Drosophila melanogaster: one gene and its partners. Changing the gene in region 2 together with the main gene of any one other region gives a genetic interaction. Each region holds a gene or a part of one and is shown on either strand. Other genes may lie near its edges.

The links. Genes that interact genetically often act in the same process or in processes that back each other up.
Region 1: of vn (region 2) and Burs, changing one suppresses a phenotype caused by changing the other (phenotypic suppression), as found in Drosophila melanogaster (one study listed by BioGRID).
Region 3: of vn (region 2) and Su(H), changing one suppresses a phenotype caused by changing the other (phenotypic suppression), as found in Drosophila melanogaster (one study listed by BioGRID).

What each region holds. Positions count from the first base shown.
Region 1 is NT_033777.3:21,766,695-21,772,614, forward strand, and holds Burs (bursicon), read left to right. Parts: upstream 1-2,823; 5' UTR 2,824-2,856; coding exon 2,857-2,986; intron 2,987-3,050; coding exon 3,051-3,175; intron 3,176-3,233; coding exon 3,234-3,500; 3' UTR 3,501-3,585; downstream 3,586-5,920. Other genes in the region: GABA-B-R2 (metabotropic GABA-B receptor subtype 2), read right to left, coding at 3,835-4,454, 4,516-4,982, 5,040-5,142, 5,208-5,553. UniProt on the Drosophila melanogaster protein: Final heterodimeric neurohormone released at the end of the molting cycle, involved in the sclerotization (tanning) of the insect cuticle, melanization and wing spreading. Heterodimer specifically activates the G protein-coupled receptor rk.
Region 2 is NT_037436.4:5,840,591-5,848,273, forward strand, and holds the start of vn (vein), read right to left. Parts: upstream 5,075-7,683; 5' UTR 2,969-5,074; coding exon 1,618-2,968; intron 1-1,617. UniProt on the Drosophila melanogaster protein: Ligand for the EGF receptor. Seems to play a role in the global proliferation of wing disc cells and the larval patterning. Shows a strong synergistic genetic interaction with spi, suggesting a molecular interdependence.
Region 3 is NT_033779.5:15,036,250-15,045,669, reverse strand, and holds Su(H) (suppressor of hairless), read right to left. Parts: upstream 6,183-9,420; 5' UTR 5,734-6,182; coding exon 5,350-5,733; intron 4,576-5,349; coding exon 3,695-4,575; intron 3,637-3,694; coding exon 3,429-3,636; intron 3,364-3,428; coding exon 3,052-3,363; 3' UTR 2,336-3,051; downstream 1-2,335. Other genes in the region: ck (crinkled), read left to right, coding at 50-256; CIAPIN1 (cytokine induced apoptosis inhibitor 1), read left to right, coding at 6,895-7,030, 7,120-7,616, 7,685-7,798; yellow-c, read right to left, coding at 7,942-8,619, 8,679-9,084. UniProt on the Drosophila melanogaster protein: Transcriptional regulator that plays a central role in Notch signaling, a signaling pathway involved in cell-cell communication that regulates a broad spectrum of cell-fate determinations.

The sequences.
Region 1 (5,920 bases), on a different chromosome or scaffold from region 2:
ACTTCTCTATTTGGTGTCATGCATTTATAAGACTTGTCAAAAGTTGTTTTAATTTCTTTAAGCTCGTTTTGTATTTCTTGCCAGTCCATTTAAAGAATACTATGGATTTATCTATGCAATCGAACTTTATAAATTTTGGCCTCTCTCAAATAGGTTTCTTCAATAATCTTTTTTTTTTTTTCATTCTAGTTTTCTGATATTAAAAATAAAAATTTTAGATCATCTTAATTCAAAATACATTTTGGATGTTTTTTTTTTTTTTTTTTTAAATTTTATCCAAACTATTCTCTGCTTTGCCTATATAACGCCTCTTTATTATCTTGTTATGCTTAACATATAGCGTTAATATAAACTGAGCGACTGTTACGATCGTCATGATCAAAAGGAGTAACCACAGTGACTGAATGTCATCTGTATGGTCGACTATTTTTAAGTTATTGACCACATTGGCCGTATTATCTTTTGTCTGACTATCGTCAGATCCAAACCAACCCATTTTTGTATATTTTTATTTTTTTTTGTTTTATTTTTGGGTTTTGGTTTATTTTACTTTAAAAATATGTTGTTTTGATTTTTTTTTTTTTTTGTTCAATATAGTTACATTTTCCTACCTAGTTGGTGTATGGCTTTACGGGCCATTCTTCTCATCGGGCAGAAAAAGTTCCGCTCAATGTTACAATATTTTGTGTAATATTAATATGCAGCGCAGTGCATCGAGGGTGGTGTGCCACGCAGGGCAACAAAAAAAAATATTTTATTTTTCAGCTCCTATTTGCTTCACTCTGACCCTCCTTGCGTCAGCTGGACGTCGCCGGGGTTGGCACGCTGACACTCCCTCGATGACGTAATGAGCGGGCTGCTCACCACGTTGATGATGATTTCCTCATTTAGGGGTTATGTGGTGGAGCTGCAATGTCTGCACGTATGTTCACAATGCGGTGTGAACAGTGGTCCCTCGCAGTCGTTCGGGCATCTTTTCTTGAAAACAGGCAGGCTTTTCGGATTGGGAGTTGGAGTTTTGTTAATTGTTAACGATTTTATTTGATTTTCTGAGTGAGCGCGTGTGGTGGGGATTTTTTTCTTGAGATATTCGACACAGTGGTCTAGCTCAGCTTGTAGTTTTTGAGCTTTCGACCATTGGGGTGGTGGAGTGTTCGTATATAATAGCCACTTTATGTGCGCTATTCTCTTTTTTATATTATGTCGAACTCCGCCCCTGTTTTTTCCCATCACACTGACACTCTACTCACTCAGATCGCTTTTTTCTTCATAATTGCCGCCGTCTTGGTGGATGAGCATCGAAGTTGAAAATTATCACAAGCGGTTTCCTTTAGCTTCTGCTACAACTTATAACGATCCTTTGTCACGGTCGCCATGTAGTTAATTAGAATTCCAATACTTCTGATGTAGTTAATAAAGTCTCAAAACGCAGTTGGTCATTTTATCTTTATTTGGTTTTTATTAAGCGAGCGTACATTCCAGATCTATTCCTGATTTATAACTGATCTTAGTGTGGTCTACAGGCAGATCTCTTGTGACAGCCAAGTGCTGACACTAGCAAATTCTGCAATATGTAAGTATGTAGTTCATACTCGATAACCAATGGGAGTCGAGTGCGACCCCTAAAGGCGTACATGCTGAATTCGCATATTTAGTATTAGGGTGTATCTAAAGATCTACTAGGGTGACCCTAAGGAATTAGGGTGGTCCTAAGTTTACTTATTAGTCGACTTATTATTATGATTCATATTATAATTATTATTAATATTATTATTATTATTGTTATTATTATTGTTATTATGTTCGTATATACTACACTCCGCTGGATGTGGCCAATCGCAACAAACTGATCAAATGGCTGTGCAGATACCAGGCCAGCAATTGCAGGCCAAAGGTTAACGTTCAGTTCGTAACAGGTCATGAAGTACCATCGCCGGATTACCGGGAAACGTTCTATTGTGCCGCCAGTGGTGCCGATTACAACTCATACACCATGTTGTGGGGTCAGTATTATTTGGAAAATCGCACTAGCGAAAAGAATATGCTCTGGGCTGCAATCAGCTGCACGAGAGACTACGAAACCCATTACCACAAGATGATCATCTCTGGTACGGAAAGTGTTGAACAAAAGAAAATTGGTATCGCCCGTATGTACGAGGAGAATCCTGACTTGGTTCAGGCAATTTTCGAAATGATTACCGAAAACATTATGGAATTAGCGTATAAGTGAGTTATTTTTCATAATTTGATCATCTGAGAGTGTGGTTTGATTGTTTATTGAACACTTAACCTTGTCGCTTTTCAGCTTCCAGAGTTGGTCGGGACACGGCCGAGGTGATCAATGACATGGCGGAGTACTTCACCACCCGGGAGCAACAGCAGTTGCTCAAGGAATTCTACTACAGCAATCACCAGTTCTTCGGTGAATCGGAAGAGCTGCTCTCCAAGTCCCTGGTCACTGTGGAAAAAAACCTTAACTGGGCGGAAACCCATTTGGAAGGCTTAGTAAAATATCTGGCGGACAGAAATGGTAGCTCCTGCCTGGGAGCCACTTCCTTGGTGGTGGTTCTGCTTTTAGCAGTGGGCAGCATGTTGGCCTGGCCCTGATTAGCCAATAAGTTGTGAGGGAAATAAAGAGATTGCCGTGGTCGTGCGCCGCGGGAGAAATGCCCTTTTCGTGTACGCAATTACTAGGCAAAAAGGTTTGGACGGCCCTTGCTTTATTAGGCCATAATTTACGCTGTCGAGCGGCCATTAGAGCGGCATCCGCTGGCCAAGTTGGTCTATAAAAGCCCGGCGGCTGCAAGTGGCGTTTTCCATTCCACGTGAAAGGACACTCGCAGTCGGGCCGACGAGATGCTGCGCCACCTGCTCCGCCACGAGAACAACAAGGTCTTCGTCCTGATCCTGCTCTACTGCGTCCTGGTCAGCATTCTGAAACTCTGCACGGCACAGCCGGATAGCTCTGTGGCCGCCACGGATAATGGTATTTGATAAGGCATTTGATAATATCATATTATTCGCTCTAATGGATTCCATTTACCATCCAGATATTACGCATCTTGGCGACGATTGTCAGGTGACGCCCGTCATCCATGTGCTCCAGTATCCTGGATGTGTGCCCAAGCCGATTCCCTCGTTCGCCTGCGTGGGTCGCTGTGCCAGTTATATCCAGGTGGGTGTTGATATACTTGAAATATAAATTATAATTTGATATAATCTGATGACTTTAGGTTTCGGGCAGTAAGATCTGGCAAATGGAGCGTTCCTGCATGTGCTGCCAGGAGTCTGGTGAGCGGGAGGCAGCCGTCTCGCTATTCTGTCCCAAAGTGAAGCCCGGCGAGCGTAAATTCAAGAAGGTCCTGACCAAGGCGCCATTGGAGTGCATGTGTCGGCCATGCACTTCCATTGAGGAGTCTGGCATCATACCACAGGAAATTGCCGGCTATTCGGACGAGGGTCCACTCAACAATCACTTCCGGCGCATTGCTCTGCAATAGATTCCCCCATCAGTTTAGCACTCATACCCATGCCCATTTGCTCATTAAAATAAATTAGAGTTGCCGTTTCTGCTTGTACACAGTGAAAAATGTGCCTCTGAAAGCTCATGCCAGTGAAAGGGAAACATCAGCAGATATATGATTATTTTAAATTGTAATTTATTTCCCAACTATCTCATGTCATTGCTACTAGTTCACTAAATGGTGTGTGTCCTGCTTCACAGGGTATGTATGTAGATGCGTAACTCCAAAGAAAACAAAGATAATCTTTACACTGCAACTGGATCTAACAATAGGAGTTTAACTACGGCATAATGCATATGACTCGCGCCGCCTACAAGTACTCGACGATATCGCATTTGATGGATATATTCGGACAGCTCTGGCCCACGGCACTGCGGCCCCGATAGTTGGGACTCTTCTCGGTGAGGAGTTTCCGGAAGATGGGCAAAATTGCCGTCTCGCCCTCGAGCAGTTCCGTCTCGCTGCTGGCGCCGTAGATGCTGCTATCCTGCTTGCCGCGCTGCCTGCTCCGCTGCTTATCGGGCGCCACATTGGGCGAACTGTGGTGGTGGGCGGCGTGCTGGATGTTAGAGCTCCGGCTGACCTTACGCGGCTGGACGCACGGCTGACTGTTGGGCGGCGGATCTCGTTCCCGTTCGCTGTCCGTCTCGCTCTGGCAAACGGTGCCCTTTTGCGGTTTTGGCCGATGTTTGTTGCGGTTCTTCTCGGAGACGGACCGCTGGATGGGCGAGGTGGTGTTCGGGTCATAGGTCATCCCGTGGCCGCCATGATGTTCCGCACAGCGCTGCGGACTGGCGTAGTTCCGCGGCGACTGGCGCTGCTTGGCGTGCGACAGCGTGTGCGTGTCCCAGAGGTCACTCTGTGAAACCACGAAATTGGACTTCAGAGCGGAGCCCATGCTGGTGCGGCGATGGTCGGAGGCAGTGGGAGCTATTTTCGATTAGAAAATCGATAGTATTATAGTATTATAAGAGACGCGCAGAAAACTTACTCTTAATCACAGCCGGAGTACTGGGCTTTGAGTGTGGACACATGTTGCTCAACTCCGATTGCGATGTGGAGATGTTGGTGGAGGAGTTCCGGTGCGAGCTGCTGTACTTTGGCCGGGCGGTGGGCGTCTGGCTGCCACTGTCGTAGTGCCTGGAGGCGGTCGATTGACGCCTCTCCCGCATGCTGGAGCAGTCTCCTCCGCTCCGCTTGCCCGCCGTACTGGTGATGCTGCCTATATTATCATCGGTCTGAGCGGACACCGAGTTTCTCTTCTCCAGATGGCGATGATGATGCTGCTGCTGCTGCTGTTGCTGTTGCATCTGCTGGTGTTGCTGCTGCTGCAGGTGCTGCTGCTGCATCTGCTGATGTTGCTGTAAGTGCTGCTGCAGTTGCTGCTGGATGGGCTGCATCATAGTTGGAGCAGGGGCATGCGAGTGGTGCTCTACAATCGATTGCTTTTTCTTTTTGCTGTTGGAGAATATCCATAGATTAGAGTGTATTTAAGACCAAAATTTAAGAACTTACGGAGGAAGCGATGGCGCCATCACTGTAGACTGCACCGACACAAAGGAGTTATCCATCTCCACATGAGTCGAGGTCACACTATCCACGGACGTCATCTCGGTAACTTCTATGACAAACGGGTTGCAATGCATGAACATATCTACGAAATCCCCCTCCTTAGCCACTCACCTGTGGTGCTGGGCATCTCTCGACGCACCGGTGGAGCTGAGAGCCTAACAATGTCATCGTTCAGTATGGGCTCCAGTTCGCTACCGACGTTGGAGCCACCTGTGCAGGTCACCCCATCGATCCATTTGCGTGCCTCGGGTCCCAGCTTGCGGATTAAGGCCTGCAGCTCGTTCTCCTTCTCCATCAGCGCCTTTCGGAATCGGCAGTTTGTGTTCTTTACATCTCGCAATCGTTGCTCCAGTTCGCACACCGAGGAATCCCGGCGTCCGTTTTTGGACATGGGTCTCAACGTGGCCCTAACGCGTTTGTCCACCACGCCCTGGGGATTCCGCTTCAGCTCCACCAACTGCAAAACGATTCGCATGAATATTAACCAAAGATTATACTACGCGGTCAACATCTAGGAAGGATCAACTCTACGGACAGTAATATAGGATAGTTAAAGATATTCCAACAGCAAGGAAGTGGGATTTGCCTACAACCTTGCTGCTGCTCTTAGTGGGTTCTATATAGTTCAAGTTTATAGTTAGTCTGTAGTGTTATATAGCATTTTAAGATCTGTTTTCGAGTACATGTTGTTTCTGTATCAAGGTGTATCAACGCTAGACGAAAGATCAGCTCAGCTGGCGGTAAAGTACGATCAGTTAAGAAGCTCTAACCACAACTGATCGGCCTATTACCGCCGACAAACAACATTCATATTACACGATTAT
Region 2 (7,683 bases):
AGGCCAGAAAGTAAATAAACACCAGATAAAAAACCCAAAAAGACAAAGCGCGAGAGAACAGCTGATTGCAGCTGATTTCGATGCGGGGGGAGCTCCGAAAAGGGTTGGGTCTTACATATGCATGTATGTACGTGTCCGTATATGTGACCATGTATCTGGGGATCTTGGGTATACCGGAGGGGGGTTTCTTTTTCTCCCACTCCGTGTGCGGGAGCCATGACGGAAGAGCCAGAAGCTGAAACAGCAGCTAAGGAGCGATGTGGAGAGAGAAAATGAATTAAAAATCTAATTGCGCCCGCGATGAAACAAAGCACACAATCCGAGAGGGAGAAGACAATAAAGACAACAGCAACAAACATAAATAAATAAAAGGAAAGGAAGTTAGCTCAAGGTAGTCGAAGTTTATATGCCCTGCCAAGGGTTCAAGAACAATGATATAGTAATTCAAAATTTCTATATAATGTGAAATTATATCGACATTGAAGGTCTCTCATATACATATGTATATATAATACCTAAAAAGATTCGAAAAACATATTTCTACCTTTGTTGCTAGCCAAAATTGAAATACCCCCTTCGAGGGTGTGAAGGGAAAGGCAAGGCAAAGGCGGGGGAGGCGGCGAGGGGCGGGGCCGGGTGATCGCACTTAGTCGCATTACAGACGCAAAACTCCATGAACCGCGACGCAAGAATAATTACAACAACAGCAGTGGGAGAAGAACGTAGGGTTGGGTTGGGTCTGCCAACCGCAAAGGTCGAATGCAGACAACAACAACAACAGCAAGAACAAGAACAACAAACCACCACAATGACGATGACGTTGTGAGTTGCACATTGGAGCTAAAAAGACGGGCGGACAGAAATGAGTTTTCAAAGTTTTTCCCACTTTTCAGGAGGCAGGAAGGGAGTAAGGGAGTAAGGGGGATAGGGAGAAGAAGCCGGGAGCAGCGAGCAAAGTTAATGCGAATTTAATTAAAATGTGCAACTAGCAACAGCCGAGGCAGCGGCAATAATAAATTCTAGATGTGAGCATTTTTGTTGCACAGCAACCAAATTGAGTCGGGCACAAAGAAAAGAATCCAGTAGAAGAATCCGAAGAAGACCAGAGCCTAGACTTGCAAAAAAAAAAAAAAAAACAACAACAACAAAAACTGCAATCGCACAGGCGCATGCGCAACGTTTCCCTGCATGTGTGTGTGTGTGTGTGTGTAGCAGTGGTGTGAGTGTATTGCATAAAATTATTTCGGTCTGGTGAATATTAGCAGAGCGTGAAGTTGGCAAATAAGAAATTCAGCTGCAAAAAGCAGCTAAATTTCATTAAACAACAACCAGCAACGTGGAGAGTAGAAAGAGGCAGCTGCCATGGCGCAAAAGAGACGGCAAGAAAGAAATGTAATGGGAGGAAGCCGAAAGAAAGGTGGCGAGAGAAAGGGAGCAATTTTCGGGAGATTTCCATGTCATGTCTTTTAGTTGAAGGCAATATTTCCAAGATTTGCTACTCTACTCGTTGGGGGTTCAATGATCGGTGGCTAACTTTTCTTATCAAACCAAAAACTTGCTTTTGAAAAACTTATTCTAGGCCCACCCACTTTAGGTTTAAAATCGAAATCCACTCACTATAATTTTCGCTCACAGCCGTTTCGACCGCTTCCACCACTAAATGTGTGACCCTCATGGGCTGGCCGAGGATGGTGAAGTTGCCTGGATTCGTCTGCTGCACGAACATCATGTAGGATATATCCGACGCCTGCTGCAGATCGTTCCCGGAGCGGAGCATGCCCCGCGGCATCAGTCGCTCCCTGTAGATGTCGCACTCGCCGCTGGAGTTGCTCAGCGCGAACTGCAATCGCACCAGCGTGGGCAGTTGAAGATCGTGCTGCTGCTTGTACACCTTCTCCACCTTCATGGTGGCCGAGAAGTTCACCCGCCGATCGGCGGACATCGACTTGAAGACACCCTGGAAAACGGTGGGTGCCGCAAAGGCCAACTGGGCGGGATCTCGGGCGGAGCAATAGCGGTTGTATCGCTGGTGCTTCCGCTGGTGCTTCCTGCGCTGCTGCTGCTGCTGCTGGTGCTTGTTGCCGCTCTTGTGCTGACGCTGCTGCTGCTGCTGGCGCTGCTCCTTCTGCTGATCCTGCCGCTGGCGGCGGTGATCGCGCTTGTCCTGCTGCAACTGTTGCCGGTGGCCGGTGCGCTGTTGCTGCCGGCTGCCGTTGGTGTTGCTGCCATCCCGACGACTTCGCGCCGCCTGCTCCGGACTGCGATCCTCTAACATGCTCTCTGGCATCTCGTAGGACTCGATTAGATAGCTCCGCACCGCCGGCCGACTGCTGTAGTTGCTCGGTAATTGCGCTCTGCTCTCTGGCTGATGTGGCAGCTGTGATGGTTGAATGTGGCGACGCATTTTGCTGCTCGCCGCCTCGCTGGGCATGCCATTGTATAATAAATTATATATTTGACTATTGATTAACGTATTTGGAACTTTTTGCATTGACTGCTGCTGCTGCTGTTGCTGCTGCTGCTGCTCTGGCACGGCAGCCACATGTTGCTCCTGCTGAGCGGGTGTACTGCTGCCGGCGTCGAATACTGTTGCTGGCTTTAACTTAACATTGCTACGGCTACTAAGACTATTGCTGTTGAGGCTGAGCAGCCTACTTAAGATATTGTTGTCGATGTTGTTGCTGCTGCTTCTACTGCTGCTGCTACCGCTCTCGGCGGAGCTTTCACTGCTCCCGCTGCCATTATCCGAACTCAGTGGTATATAGTAGCTGCTTTCTTCGGCACTGCCTTCCCATAATCTTGGAAGATGCTGCTGCTGCTGCTGCTGTTGTTGTTGCTGCTGCGTCGTCGCCGACGACGACAACACACATGTGTTTAGTAGCAACATGTAGCTGATAATTAGCAATATCAATGGCATTAGTTGCTTTTTTGTTTTTAGACTCCATTTGCGCAAATGTTGCGCATACATGGCGTCCTCCAAAGTTGTTGCTGCTATTGCCCCGACTTTATGTACAAAATCTCGATAGCGAGTGTTGCTGCTGCGCTTTGCTGCTGCTGCTGCGTATTGCTGCGTGATGCTGCTGCTGCTGCTGCTGCTGCTGCTGCTGCTGCTGCTGGGGGGTTGGTGTGTCCTTTGTCCTTGCAATTTGCCTAAACGTGACAAATGTAAAATTCGCTGCCTCGTCGTTGTGGCTTGTCGTATTTCCGTTTATCCTGCAAATACTTTCGATAGTTTCGTAGCATTTTGAGCGACAGCAGGGGCAAGAGAGAGACGGACTGTTCGAGAGCGAGAGAGAGGGGGATAGTGTATTTCGGACTGGTCTAACACACTGTATGCCTAGCATTAATTTATGAACACTTTGCCGCACTCGATTGTTGCTGTTGCTTTTGATGTTGCTGCTGCTGCTGTTGCTGTTGCTGCTTATTTTGGTGACTCATTTTTGTTATCTGAACAGAATTTCGCCGCGTTTCACTTGAGCGATCGCTAGGAGTCGACGCACGGCCACGCCCCGCTGCACGCCCCCCCCCAAAATTGGACGGGCCTAAGGTCGCGTGGCGTTTGATTTTTCCCCCACTTTTTTCGTAGCGCTTTTCTTCACGAGGCTTTTCACGCGCGCGATCGTTTCGTATCGCCTCGATTCGGGTTCGGATTCGTATTTGTATTCGTATTCGTTTGTGGGGCTCGGATATTCGTACTCGTATTCGTACTCGTATTCGGCTTTAACTTCGGCTGCCGCTCCTGCTGCTGCTGTTGCGTTTGCTGCTCTTGTAATTGTAATCCTCGGCGCCAGATATACGATAATGTTTGTCTGGCCGTATACGCGATCTCTCGCCTATATAGCCGTAGTCGCACCCGTAGTCGTAGCCGTAGTCTGATTCACGAGTCGTCTTTTCTGGCACACACACCGCTGCAGATCTCTGATCTCTGATGACGACGACGACGATGATGATGGGGATGGCGATGATGATGATGATGATGGTGGATATTGGACGGCGGATGGTGTACGGCGATGATGATGTGCGATATAGCAGACGCGGACACTCTCGCGTATCTCACGGATACGGATACACGGACGGGGCACACACAACACACACGTCTTCTAATTTTAGACAAAAGTAATTATAAAAGAAAAAACAGAGCAGAGTGCGCCGCGTTCAGCTTATACGCATATATATCTTCTACTTTGGCTTTGGCTAGATATATGTGCAATACATATATACCCGCATCTGCTGATGTATTTGTGCACCTTTTCGATGTCTGCGTGCTCACTAGCCGATTATATAGAAAAGTCGTCGCAACAGTCGGCTCTAGATAAATATATATATTTTTTGTGCATATATATATGCAACATGGGAACGCACACAATCACACGCGCTGGCACGAGAAGCGATCGTTTTTGTTTTATATATCTGTGCGTATATATATGTCTATGTGATAAGTACATATACCAAGTGCAGGCAGAAGTTGTTGCTTCAGGAGAGCCAAAATCTATGAAGATGCCCCGGCTGTTGTTGCACTGTTGTTGTTTTTATTATTATAGTTGCCACTGCTGTTTTTTTTTTATTTCATTCATTCCGCAAAAAGTCCGCTTTGCCGGGGAAAATCAGCAATTGCACACGCTTAATGAAACCGAAAGTCCTTTTACACGTTCGATCGATTTGTGTTGTTCGATTTGCTTGGTGGGTCACTTCGGTTACTCCAGCTGATGAAATTCGCTGGGAACTTTTATTCTTGAATATTAATAAATCAACGATTTTTCACACAGAATTTCACTGATTTCAAAACACTCCACTCGGATCTGCAGTTGTCTGGCTGATCTTTTATCAACGCCCTCAGTGAGTATCTGAACAATAATAATATTTGGCTATCTTACGGATTGCCGACAATCGCGCGCCCGTTCCGTTGCCGTCGAATGGTTTCTGCGGACTGTCGGTGGAAACTAACTGATTGTGTATGTTGGTTTAAAATTATTCTTTTCTCTGCTCCTAACACAGGCGGAATTTCGTATAATTCTTTTTTTATTTGGACGAACTCGCTCTACGGAGCGGCACAGGTCTGCTCGATTTGACGCCGCGAAAACGACTCAAACGTATCTCACCGATGCAGAGCAGAGTTGTAGCATTCACAACGTATCTCACGGATACAACTCAAACGTATCTCACGACTCAAACGTATCTCACTGGTCGGAATTTGTTCGACTGCGTTCGGCCGTGTTCGAATATCTTCGGCACGCTCATTTCGCTCAAACGTTGAGTGTTTTCTCCAACGTTTTCTTCTCACAGCAACGCCAGCATTTTCTCAACCCTGCAGTTTTCTCTCAACAATTTCGGGTGATCCAATTCATTACTTTATATCAATTACTTAAAGGCGATTTGTGGTTAACAATTGGGATATTTAATATGGAACATCAAGGAGGGCACGAGACCTTTACTTATTCGTCTCTAAAAGTATGCTTCACAATATGCTAATTTCTTTAGAGATTGCTCTAAAATTCTTTAAGTCTATAATGTCCTTTTTTTTTCAAATTTAGGGTATTAAAATATATTTTGTAAATCCGATTTACTCTCTCGCTCTCTCGAAAAATCCCTCTATTCCTCTGCTGCAAGGATAATTTCTTACCGTAATAAGTCGATACGATATATGCTAGAAAAACAACGTATTAAAAAAATATCGTCGTTACTCGTTAAAATGAAAACCGAACTAGGAGGGAAATCGAACCCGTTGACGATTAAATAGGTGTCTAACGACAATATTATCAATCCAATAGATAAAAATAGATAAGAGGACAGTTGTCATTGGCTTTTGCTCCGATTTCCAATAAGTTACTCATAATCGTCGAGCTTCTGATAGGCTGCTATAAATGAGTTCCAGTCTGAGGGTCTTTAAAAATTATTGCTCATACGCAAAAAGTTCAAGTCCTAGCTCAATGAGTCATTCCAAGTAATTGAATGAATGATGTGCGCTTATGCTGCATTTGAATAAGTTAAATGTACTGTCGGCGATCTTATCTAGTTCAAGAAAGTTTGGATTCATAACTAATCTTAGTTATCATTACAGAGCTGTAACTTTTTAACAATTTGCCTAAAAGCAATGAGCAATTTGTTAACAAAATTGTGAGCAAGAGACATAATTTTTTCTATTTATTGCTAATCGATCGATCACAATATGAGACCCTTACATAACTCGTCAATCTTAATTTAGTTTTGCTTTCATCCAACAGCTCTTAACTCAACGCTTTCGTTTGTTTTGACTACGGTTCCGGATTTCCTCCCGTTTTTGATATTTTCTTATGATGACTGCGGCGGCGAGTTGTCGTTCTTCTGGGGGCTCAGCTTTTTTCCCATGATTATTTGCTTTATTGTCAAATGTCAAGCCCACAACAGCGACTACAGAAAAAACAAAATGCGGCAGGTGATTCCGTCCAGCGCTTGGAAGTCGTGTAAACTTAACGTTTTTTTTTTTTTTTTTGTTTCTTACTTGCCCCAGCTGCTGATGTTTCACTCGCTGTTGTTGTTATTGTCAAACAAAGCTTCCACTTGTTCTACGCACTGCGCATAACAATAAAAGAAGCTGACAGAAGAAAAAAAAAATAAAAGAGAAAAAGCATAAAAGGGGAGCTTAGGTGGGGCGGCAGTGGTGTGGTGACAAGTGCGACAATTGTAAGAAAAGCCAGAAGCAAAGAAGGGTTCAAAGTCGGCCACTTGTGACGGAGCTGGGCCAACTTGGTCTACGTCATTGCCAGTTTCTGAATGAGCAAAACAGGTACTTACCCTACTTATCGAAACAAACCAGCTGATAAGAGCGCAAAAAAAAAACGCTACCAAATGATAGTGTTCTTATCGATTGGGCCAACTATTGCAGTTCATACGCGAAAAGCGCCCGGAAGCGGAAATAAAGCTCGACACCTGTCGCCGCTGCTCAGCGATCAGCGTTCAGAGTTCAGAGTTCGAGCAGGTAGATTGTCTTGAGTTTGCTAAGCATATATTTGAAAAGCTGCAAAAGTGAGAGAGAGAGACTCCATTGTCTAGTACGGAAGGAAGTGCTGGAAGCAAACGTTGGACAAGCTGCAGAATCCAGGGATCCAGATCCCCTCACTCCCTTTTAGAACCTGGCTGACGACAGACAACAGCTGCCAAGCGCAGCGTCATTGTATCATCAAAACACAAACACATATATATATATACAAACAATGGCAACAAGAACAACAAGGGCAGCGAGCCAAGCCCACAACAATAACAAACATGAAAACATGAAAATTTTCCAAAAGCAATTTCGAAATGCGCGCAGGCGCAAACATTCAATTCCTATTTGTCGTCACAGGGGAGGCCGGTAATGTAAGATGGAGCCGAGTTGGGAAAACAAACTAAAGAAAAACAATTCTAATTTAATTCCCACTAAGTGACTTAATGAACAAAAGATTTAGAAGGGTAAATGACTTACAATAATAGAATGCCCAATACCACTACTGAACATTTAAGAGTTCATATAATCATTATCTTATCACATTTAAATTCACCTTCCGCATTTAGCCATCATTAAATGATTTGCCAATTTCCATTCCAATAACGACTCCATTTCCGATTCGACAAGAGGTTTACTGTTGGTTGTGATTATAAAGCTAGCAAATAGAGCTGTTATATTTGTAGAGCTTTATGGCCAAGAGAAGGCACCTTGCAGTTGGG
Region 3 (9,420 bases), on a different chromosome or scaffold from region 2:
AAATCTATTACAATATAAACCAAGAACATGATACATTTTAAAACTTCAGGACATTTTGGTTACGCATCCATTTACACGCATCTCGAATTGGTCATCGGGCAATACATATTTCCACATGACCATCGGAAATCTGGTTAGGGGCTCGAAATTGTTATGTGAAACGTCGCTGGGCTACAAGATGGACGATCTGCTGACTTCATATATCTCGTTGATGTTGACCAATATGAACAAAAATCGAACCATTCGAGCCAACTAGTAAAACCTACACATAACGCAAAATATTTATAATAATTATAAATTACAATTGCAATAACTTATAAAAGCCTAGTACTTTATAGATTTAAATCATACTTAATACCCACCTCCCTTTATTCCAATTGCATTCCCTTCCCAGAGAATTCATTCCAATTTTGGTCTTGTTCAGCTATCGATTATACCAAACCAACTTGCAACTTTTGTTTTTAGTATTTGTATTTGTATAAATTTTTGCAATTACACGTTTAGGTATTCTTATGGCACATTCCGGTTAAATTATTAAATACAATGTTTTTGTATGAAGAAAAGGTCTTACATATTTTTAGATAAGCATTTGTATCTACACATATTGCATCTATATCTTTGTATATCCTAACTGCATATCTGTACTGATGACGTTTTGTATCAAATACATAGAAATGTTCAATTATTTAATAAATTATATACAAATTATGTGGTCTTTTTAATAGAATCGGATGGAAGGTAAGGTCATCTCATTGACCTGGATTAATGCAAATTTCATTTCGATCAACGGTTAGAAAATTATACTTCGGACACAAACAAACGTGCAAACACGTAGTTAAATGTCTTAAGTTCATTTCGTTTAGAAACAAACAAACGAACTTTGGACACTTAATAACACTTAACTTGAACAAATGCTTGTGACAAGTCTTGAAAATGGGTTCGTATAGAACAAACCAATCTATTTTAGACAAAAAATGCTGTGTAAGCACAAGTGTTAATAGTTCATTAAAGTCATTAATAAATAAAATAATTAGTCTTATATAAATATCTTTGTTAAGTAACAACAATGGAACTAAACAAGTTGAAGTAACGGTTACGACCGACCCCTATAAACTTTGAAAATCCGATCGATTTTGCCATCGATTTACCAATCTTGACCTACGGCTTTGGATTTACCGCGCATGGAAGGGAGTACGTGTCCAAAGTCTTGTGAATACAAATTTTTATAGGACTGGATTATATAGTTTCCCTTGATTTTCTTGCCTGACTCCCACGCCACCGATTTCCCACGCATTGTATTTTGCGAGAATTTCCATTTTTCCCCAGCGTGTGAAAAACGGCAGCAGTCGGCACGGCAAGCTAAAGACTAAAGACGACGGCAGGTAGACTTAGATTTTTCAAGATAATGAACTTTTTTAGTAGACGGTATGAGGTTGTGTAGCAGTCCTGAGAACTTTTAGAAATTGCTGTCTCCCCCTTTCTAAAAACGACCACAATCATCGCACTCGCCTATCCAAACAGTGGTGGAGAAAGAGGGCCTGGGGAAATGTGAAGGAATTGTTCATTAAAAATTCCAAACTAATTTCATATTCAGCTTCTTATAAGACGGCGACGACCTTAAGAGGTTGCAGTTCCAATTGCCAGAGCCAGAACTTTTGGTGGTGGTTTTTCCATCATAATGAACACAGGCGGCCGCCAGTAGTTTGATTCCTCACGCAACCAAAGTTCGTTGTTTAAGTCTTTCGTTCCCATCGCCCGGTGCAGTAAAATCTTAGGGGTTGCAGCCAAGTTCCTATTGGCTGACTCTGATAAGAAATATGTCTCCCAAGTGCAAGATGAGATTAAATGCTTGGCCAGCGCTCACCTTCTGATTCCGTCGAGCGGAAGTGAGCGATAATTAATTCAAAACTGCGAATCTTAATTTGTAAATCTGTAAAGACAGCAGCAGCAACGAATGCATAAATATTCAACAAAGGCAGTAAAAATTCTCACAGCAGCTCGGCAGCGGCTTTTTGGGCTGTGAGAATATTCTGCTCCTTAACTTGGCCAAAACGGAAACAATAGTGTTATATATCTATGTATATTTGCTTCTTAGCTTCGCGTTCAGCAATTCCAGACCAAACTATAATTAAAGTCGGCCCGTCCGAGGGGGTTGAGGCAAACCATCGTGGGAAGAGCTGCACTTGTTTTGTTTAAAAATATTCACACGATACTGGGTAATATTCCCACAGCAATTTAAGGCAACCAATCCTCCCCAGCGCTCCACCTTAGGCCACAGGAAAAATGGTGAACCAGAAGAATCACGCTAAACCAAAAACATAAGCTGACATGATTTGATTATTCTTTGTCATCATTTGGGATTTCTTTTTTTTATTTATGTTAGGCATTTCGCTTACACTTAAATAAATCGCTGTTTTGTCTTGTTGCGATTTTATTTTACAAAATATTTTATTGGGATTTTTAATGCTACGAATTTCCAAAGTTAATAAAAAAATGCAACAAAACTGTATGTACAGAAACAAATTTTTCCCTTTTTGACTTTGTCTTCGACTTTTTAGAAAGCTAAAGAGGGAAATGGAATGTTTTTGTAGCGTGGCTACTGGCTTGTGTATAATAAAAATTTCCGATGCATTTCGCAGTATTTTTTTTTTTCATTTAGATCTTTGGAAATTCATAGCAAAGAAAATCATAAATATTTCAACCGCATCTAAAAATCGTCTATAAACTTACATCAATTGTATATTTAACTAGAATTACATGTTTTGTGTAAAGGTATATTCATGCACATACAAATGTATGTATGTATGTCAGTGAGCTTTTCGAGTTATGTACAGAGTTTTATGTGTCATTTACAATTCTATTGGTTCCGAACTAGCACTAGATACATGTGTAAAGTATGATTCACTTTAGAGAGAAGGGGACACATTTTGGTTTACGTCACGAGGGGTTGAAAATTAGTATGAGAAAAATTGTCAATCTACAAACTAAGGTCTTCGATAAAAACTATAAATAACTTAGGATACATATGTGTGCGATGCAATAATCCTGCACTCAGGATAAGCCGCTACCATGACTATTCCATTGCACTTCTGAGATGGAGGGCAGAGCCTGATGCTGCTGCTGTTGTTGTTGCAAGCCACCGCCGGCTGCCGGCGATCCCGCATTGTTGCTGTTATTATTGTTGCTAATGCTAGTGATGTTATTATTGTTATTGTTCTGTCGCGCTCGCATCACATCCTCGGCCTGTGTATTGCAGTGCGGCCGAGGACCTGGTTCAGGTGTATACGTGAAGGTCAGACCGGTGGCATAAATTATTCCATCGTTGCGCACCAGCGAAATGGGCACCTGCGTGGGCTGACGTACCTGCAAGGACCATTAAAAGTAAAATTTATAGCGCGTATTAAACAGATTTACATTGGAAAACCTACCCAAAGCCATTCGCCTCGAAATTGTGAAATCTCCGGCACCACGCATAGCAATGTCTCTGTGCAGCGGTACATGGTTTCCGCCTCCACATCGCCAAACCACACCTGCAGATGCGGCGTAAAGTTGTCGCCACTCAGCTCTAGCATGGCCACATCCCCGCCGCCATTGAGATTAAGGGAATTAACGATTGGCACTGGAGTGACTGGAGAACTGGAAGAAAACACGAAATGAAAACTAATCCATTGAGTTGTAAGTAAGCTATACTTACGCCACAGGACCCATGCCCTCGTAGAACTGGTACTCAGCCTTGTCGGTGGATATGATGGTCCAGCAGGCGCCGTCATTGATCATCTCCTTGTTCGGCTCCTTGGGGCACGGCGTGGCCTGGAACTGTATGATTTTCTCCTGCGACAAACAGAGATACATCCGATCCGTATCCTTCATGTAGAAGGCGCATTTGTGCAGCTGAGAAACGGGATCGTCGGCTTCCAGCAGGGCCATCTGCTTGTCTACCTTCCGGATGATCAGACGTGGCAGGGCCATGCCCGTTACGGAGCACACCAGTTTGACTGTGGCTCCGTAATGAATGTAACCATCGCGCACCTGAAACTCCTCCGACTCGGACTCATTGTCATCCAGCAGGTGTATCGTAAAAGCTCCCCATTGTGTTGACGACGCATGAAAGTGTCCGTTCTCCACGTGAAGGTAACGGGTGGAGACAGTCTGGGAACGCAGGCGATTGAACAGGGCTACATTGGTGCCGCTGGCTATGCACAGATCGGCATTCTTTAGCGACTGTTTCTTTTTGGACGGCTTGGATATAACCTTGATCCGTTTCGAGTTAAAAACGCCAATGTCATGACCGTTTCCGTAAAACATCTTCACCGACAGCATAAAGTGTTTTCGCTTGTCCGAGTCCGAGATGAAGAGCGTCTTGGCCGCACAGTACTGCTTGCCATTGAGATCCAGCTGCTGCATATCCTGGTCACTGCTCCCGATACCGATGAACGCGCATAGTTGTGCTCCCTGTTCGCCCTCGCCCTGCTGCAACATCTCCTCGTACCGCCGGCGCCAGCCACTTCCGAACAGATAAATGCACGGCGGTGGGCAAAAGAATCGCTTCTCATTGCCATAGGACTTTTGGGCCACCTGGAATTCACACAGACAGACAGACAGAGGCGCACGATGGTGCAGGGAAAATTCAATTAGTACAAATTGCCGTCCAGATTATCGGAAAATCATATCAAAACCGCAAGCAATGCAGCTTTGTTAATTTTCTGTAATTAATTTCAATTATTTTCATTGCGGACTGGACCGCGCTCGCGTTGCTCAATTTGCGGGCAGTCGAGTGTGAAGGATTCCCATTTGGCGGCAGTCGTCGCTTGAAGATCGCCACCGCTAAAAGCAACCGCGACAATTTTATTCCATTTTCATGTCTGCGTTCGCCAAAAACCGCAAAAATGTAACACTTTAAAGTGGACAATGGAAACACTAGCACCTTTAAATAGTGGGTGTGGTTTTGGCGTTGCGGACTGACCGATTAGATTAAAACTAAATTATAAAAAAAAAATAAATATCTTGTAAAGCATACAAGTAATTTTCAAAGAAAGGATACATCGTTAAACTTGAAATAGAAAGAAAATCTGAATTTAATCTATTTAATCTAAAAAATCGAATAATTTAGGAAATCGACGTACAAAACTGACCAAGTTTCTAATTTAAATGAAAGTTAGGATATCCTACGTTTCTCCAGTTTGGGTTAATATATTTTTAGTAATATTGAAATAATGTATTTCAAGCTTCAAATAATTTAATTAAGACTTAAGACTCAGGAGTTCCCTTGTATGTTTTAGAATATCTTGAATACTAAATCCAGACCAAGCACCTGATAATACCGGCTTAAAAGTGGAAATCCTTTCGTACCTTGGCGTGCAGGATAACGATGACCATGTCGTTGCGCTCGCGCATGTACTTCTCCATGGCGTCCCGCGTGAGCTTCTTCTCCTCGATGTGTGGCCGGTAAGGACCCGGCAGCAAGGACATCTGCATTTGTTGTTGATGCTGCTGTTGTTGTTGTTGTTGTTGCTGCTGCTGCTGCTGTTGGTGGTGCACTTGCAATTGTTGTTGCTGCTGCTGCGACGACGGCGGCTGCGGACCGGGCAGTCCAAAGTGCGGCATATCCTGGCTCTGTTGTTGCTGCTGCTGGTGAGGATCGAGGGGTGAGCCGTTGGGATTTACAACCGTAGTTTCGTAGGCAATGGCGGGCGGGGCGGCGGCGTTTAAATTAAATTGGCTGTAGCTCTTCATTTATGCACATGTCTCCTTGCATTGAACTTATTGGAATTTTGTTTGGATCTTTTCTATTATTTCGTTTTTGGCTATTTGGCAAATTCGTTTGGCACTTTATACACTGTTCGCTGGTGCTGTTTTTGTTGTTGTTGTTGCTGCTGTATGTTTTCTATTTTGTTATCCTGCTGCACAAACACACACGCAGAGCAGCTGTCGTTTCTCTCACGCACTCTCTTCCTCTTAACCGCGGATTGGCTTTGTTGTTGTAGCTCAAGCTGGATTTGCGGCTAGCTGCGATTCACGACTAATCACACATATTTCAGCGTTTCGAGCAGATCTTGACTAGCGACTAGCGGTAGTGGCGGCTGGCTTCTGTTTAAGGCTGCAACTAGCGCTCGAGTTATATTTATAATATGCTACAACTAAAAAAGCGACTGAGGATGTTGATGTTGTATCGATAGTCCGATAGGCGCTTATTTATGATAGTCGCTGCCTACCGGCGATATGTTTGTCGCTTCACAGCACTGTTGGTTGGATTTGGATGGCAGTGGGCATTTGGTTATTTTATAGCCAATTTGGAGTAGCTAATATATTTTGTTTTAACTTTGCAGTTTCTGAATACATTTGTATATTTATTCCCATCACATCACTGTTAAAGATATTATTTCTTATATCTATAAATACTTTTAACTGATGCGAAAGGTATCGATTTTCATTGAACACTTCGATTTTGAGCGCCCACATTTAAAATTCAAGGTACAAACTACCAACCTTCTTGTCTAACTGTCCATGCATTTTTAAAACGGGCCGTGGGAAAGTACACATGGGTGAATTTAAAAGATAATTCGCGACTTTAGGCTTAAATGTAACCGTTTAAATAGGTTTAGTGGCAGAAACACACAATATGCAACTAAAAGCTGTTAATTATGTATCAGAATGTAAGCTGTAACTCATTAAAAAACGAATCTGGTGGAGTACACTTAGTTATTCATATATTTTAGCAGTCACAGTGTAAAGTGGAAAAATCTACAATCACTGAATATCATTTGCAATCCGATAGGCAGGTACAATCGATATCACCGCTCGATTTTCGGTGCATTGCCATATCTAACTTGTGAAATCAAAAATCGGTTCCGTTCGGTGCTTGAACTTTTGAGATATTCTAGAAACACATCCACAATGGAGAACTTTAAGGGTCTACAAAAATCCCTATACATATGGACGGACAGCGCCGACTTGGACAAGCGCGTGGAGCAACTAAAGGCGGCCACTGGCGGCGATGTGGCTTTGGAAAATGTGCACCGCCTTTCGTTTTGTAAGTTGCGTGCGGTGCGGTGTGTGTGTGCTGTTTTTGACTAGCCAGTGAGTCAGCAGATTAAAATCAGTGATGTTTATGCATTACAGCTTCCTATGCCAACTCCAGTTTCGACCTGATTGTGATCGAGTGCGCCCAGCTGACCGACAGTTACGTAAAACTGCTGCACATGCTGAAACCGAGTGGCAAACTGCATTTGGTGTCCTACATCGGTCCGGCGGCTAGTTTGCTGCAGGAGATCAAGCTATCCGGATTCATAAACTGTCGCGAGGACTCTCCAGATGCTTTGACCGCCGAGAAGCCTGGCTACGAGACAGGATCCTCAGCCAGGTTGTCATTCGCAAAGAAGAACGCCAGTGCAGTCAATGTGTGGAAGATAAGCGGTGACGATGAGGAACTGATCGATGAGGAGGAGCTGCTGGACGAGGAAGACAAACAGAAGCCGGATCCGGCTGGTCTGCGTGTCTGTAGCACCACGGGCAAGCGCAAGGCGTGCAAAAACTGCTCCTGCGGGCTGGCCGAGGAATTGGAGACTGAAAAACAGAGCCAGAAGGCCACCGAGAATGCCAAGTCAAGCTGTGGAAATGTGAGTTCTCTTAACCCCGATGTGAGTTAGCATTAACCTCGATTATAACTGATTTCTTATATGCACAGTGTTATCTCGGCGACGCCTTCCGCTGCTCCACTTGCCCCTATTTGGGCATGCCCGCCTTTAAGCCCGGTGAGAAGGTGCAACTGGCCGACAACCTCCTGAAATCCGACATTTAACTTAGGCTCACCATGGTATACCCAATCAATCACATTTCAAATAGTTTATTAAGCTGACTTACTAACAAACAATAATGTCATAATGTAAATACAAAAATGCACCGCGTCATAAACACAGCATGTAGATTTAAATATCCAAGTGATCACATTTCGCATGGTGTACCCTTGATGAGATCGCGGTTCTGGCCCATCAAAATACGATAGTTGACGGCCGAGGGATCGAGTTCCTTGTACAAATATGTCGGCATCTTGTCGGACAGCACCCAAATAGTGCCTTCATTGTCGATTTTCATGTCATTTGGAAAGACCAGAGTGTGCGAATCGGAATCGATTAGCCCCTGGGTGTCCGGAGTGTATGGACGCTTGATGTTCCAACAAGCAATGGCGTCTTTGTTCACCTGCGTATAGAAGATGACGCCGGTCTCGGGGTCAAAGACCTCGGCGGTGGACTGGCCATTCATGCCACGGTCACCAACGTATTTAAAATCGTAATACGAATCGCCAGCGGTCACGTGTGATTCGTTTTGCAGCACGCGGTTCGAAACCTTGAACTCCTTGGTACTGGCCAGGGCATGGAAATAAATGTCCTTGGAGTGATCTGGATTCATTGGGCCCACGGCCAGCCCAAAAACGCCATCCGTCCACTGGAAGTTCACGCCGCCCACATTGAAATCACCATGCAGAGGATCGAAGTGGAAGAAGTTGTGCTTGACGCGGTAGGATTTGTCGTTCCTCAGGGAGTACACAATCACACCGTAGGCACCCAAATCCGGAATGTAAGCAAAGGCATCTTGGCACTCCGAGCGGTCCGCATCCACAACCTAAATATTGATTAATTCGATCAGTTTGGAATTTAAATAATACGCCTATGCATACTCACAATATTCGCAAAGAACGAGTCCTCTTTGGTCTGATCAGCGGGAATGGTGAAACGGCGCAGTAAAGTATCTGTTTTCAAGTCGAAAACCAGGATTGAATTGGGCGTAATCTGCTTGGGACTGCCCAGGATGTCGGCCAAGCCAGTATCGAGCACCCACAGGCGATCGCATACGTCGACTTGAATTCGGAAGGTGGAAATGACAGTGGAGTTGTCCTTCAGCTGGATGCCGGCATCTTGAGCCTTGTCCGCGTCCAGACGTCCACCGGATGGTGTCTTTTGGTCCTGTGGCTGCACATCGATGGGCAGCTTGTTGGCCTCCCAACTGGGATACGGATGCAGCTTTGGCGACTTCTCCGTCGAATTAATGTCGATGTAGTTGAGTGTGGCAGCAACACCAGCCTTCCATCTAAAGGGAAAGTAGATCATTTAATAATGAGGAGAAATAAATTAACTAAAAAATTTACATTTCAGACTTGTTTAGTTACTAATTACATTTAAACCTGACACTGGCAAGTAACAAATTAATAACATTAAAAAGTACCATTCACCTGCGCAATTATTATGACTGATTGGATATAGTCTAATATAAGCTATAGTTTTAATTTATATCTTAGCACTATCAGTTAAAACTTTGACGGCAACTATAGCTTAAATAATTATGCTGTATTATCAACAAAATATACTTTTTTTACGTATCTTATTTTTCGAAATGTTTTTAAATCGAATTTTGTTTTGATTACTC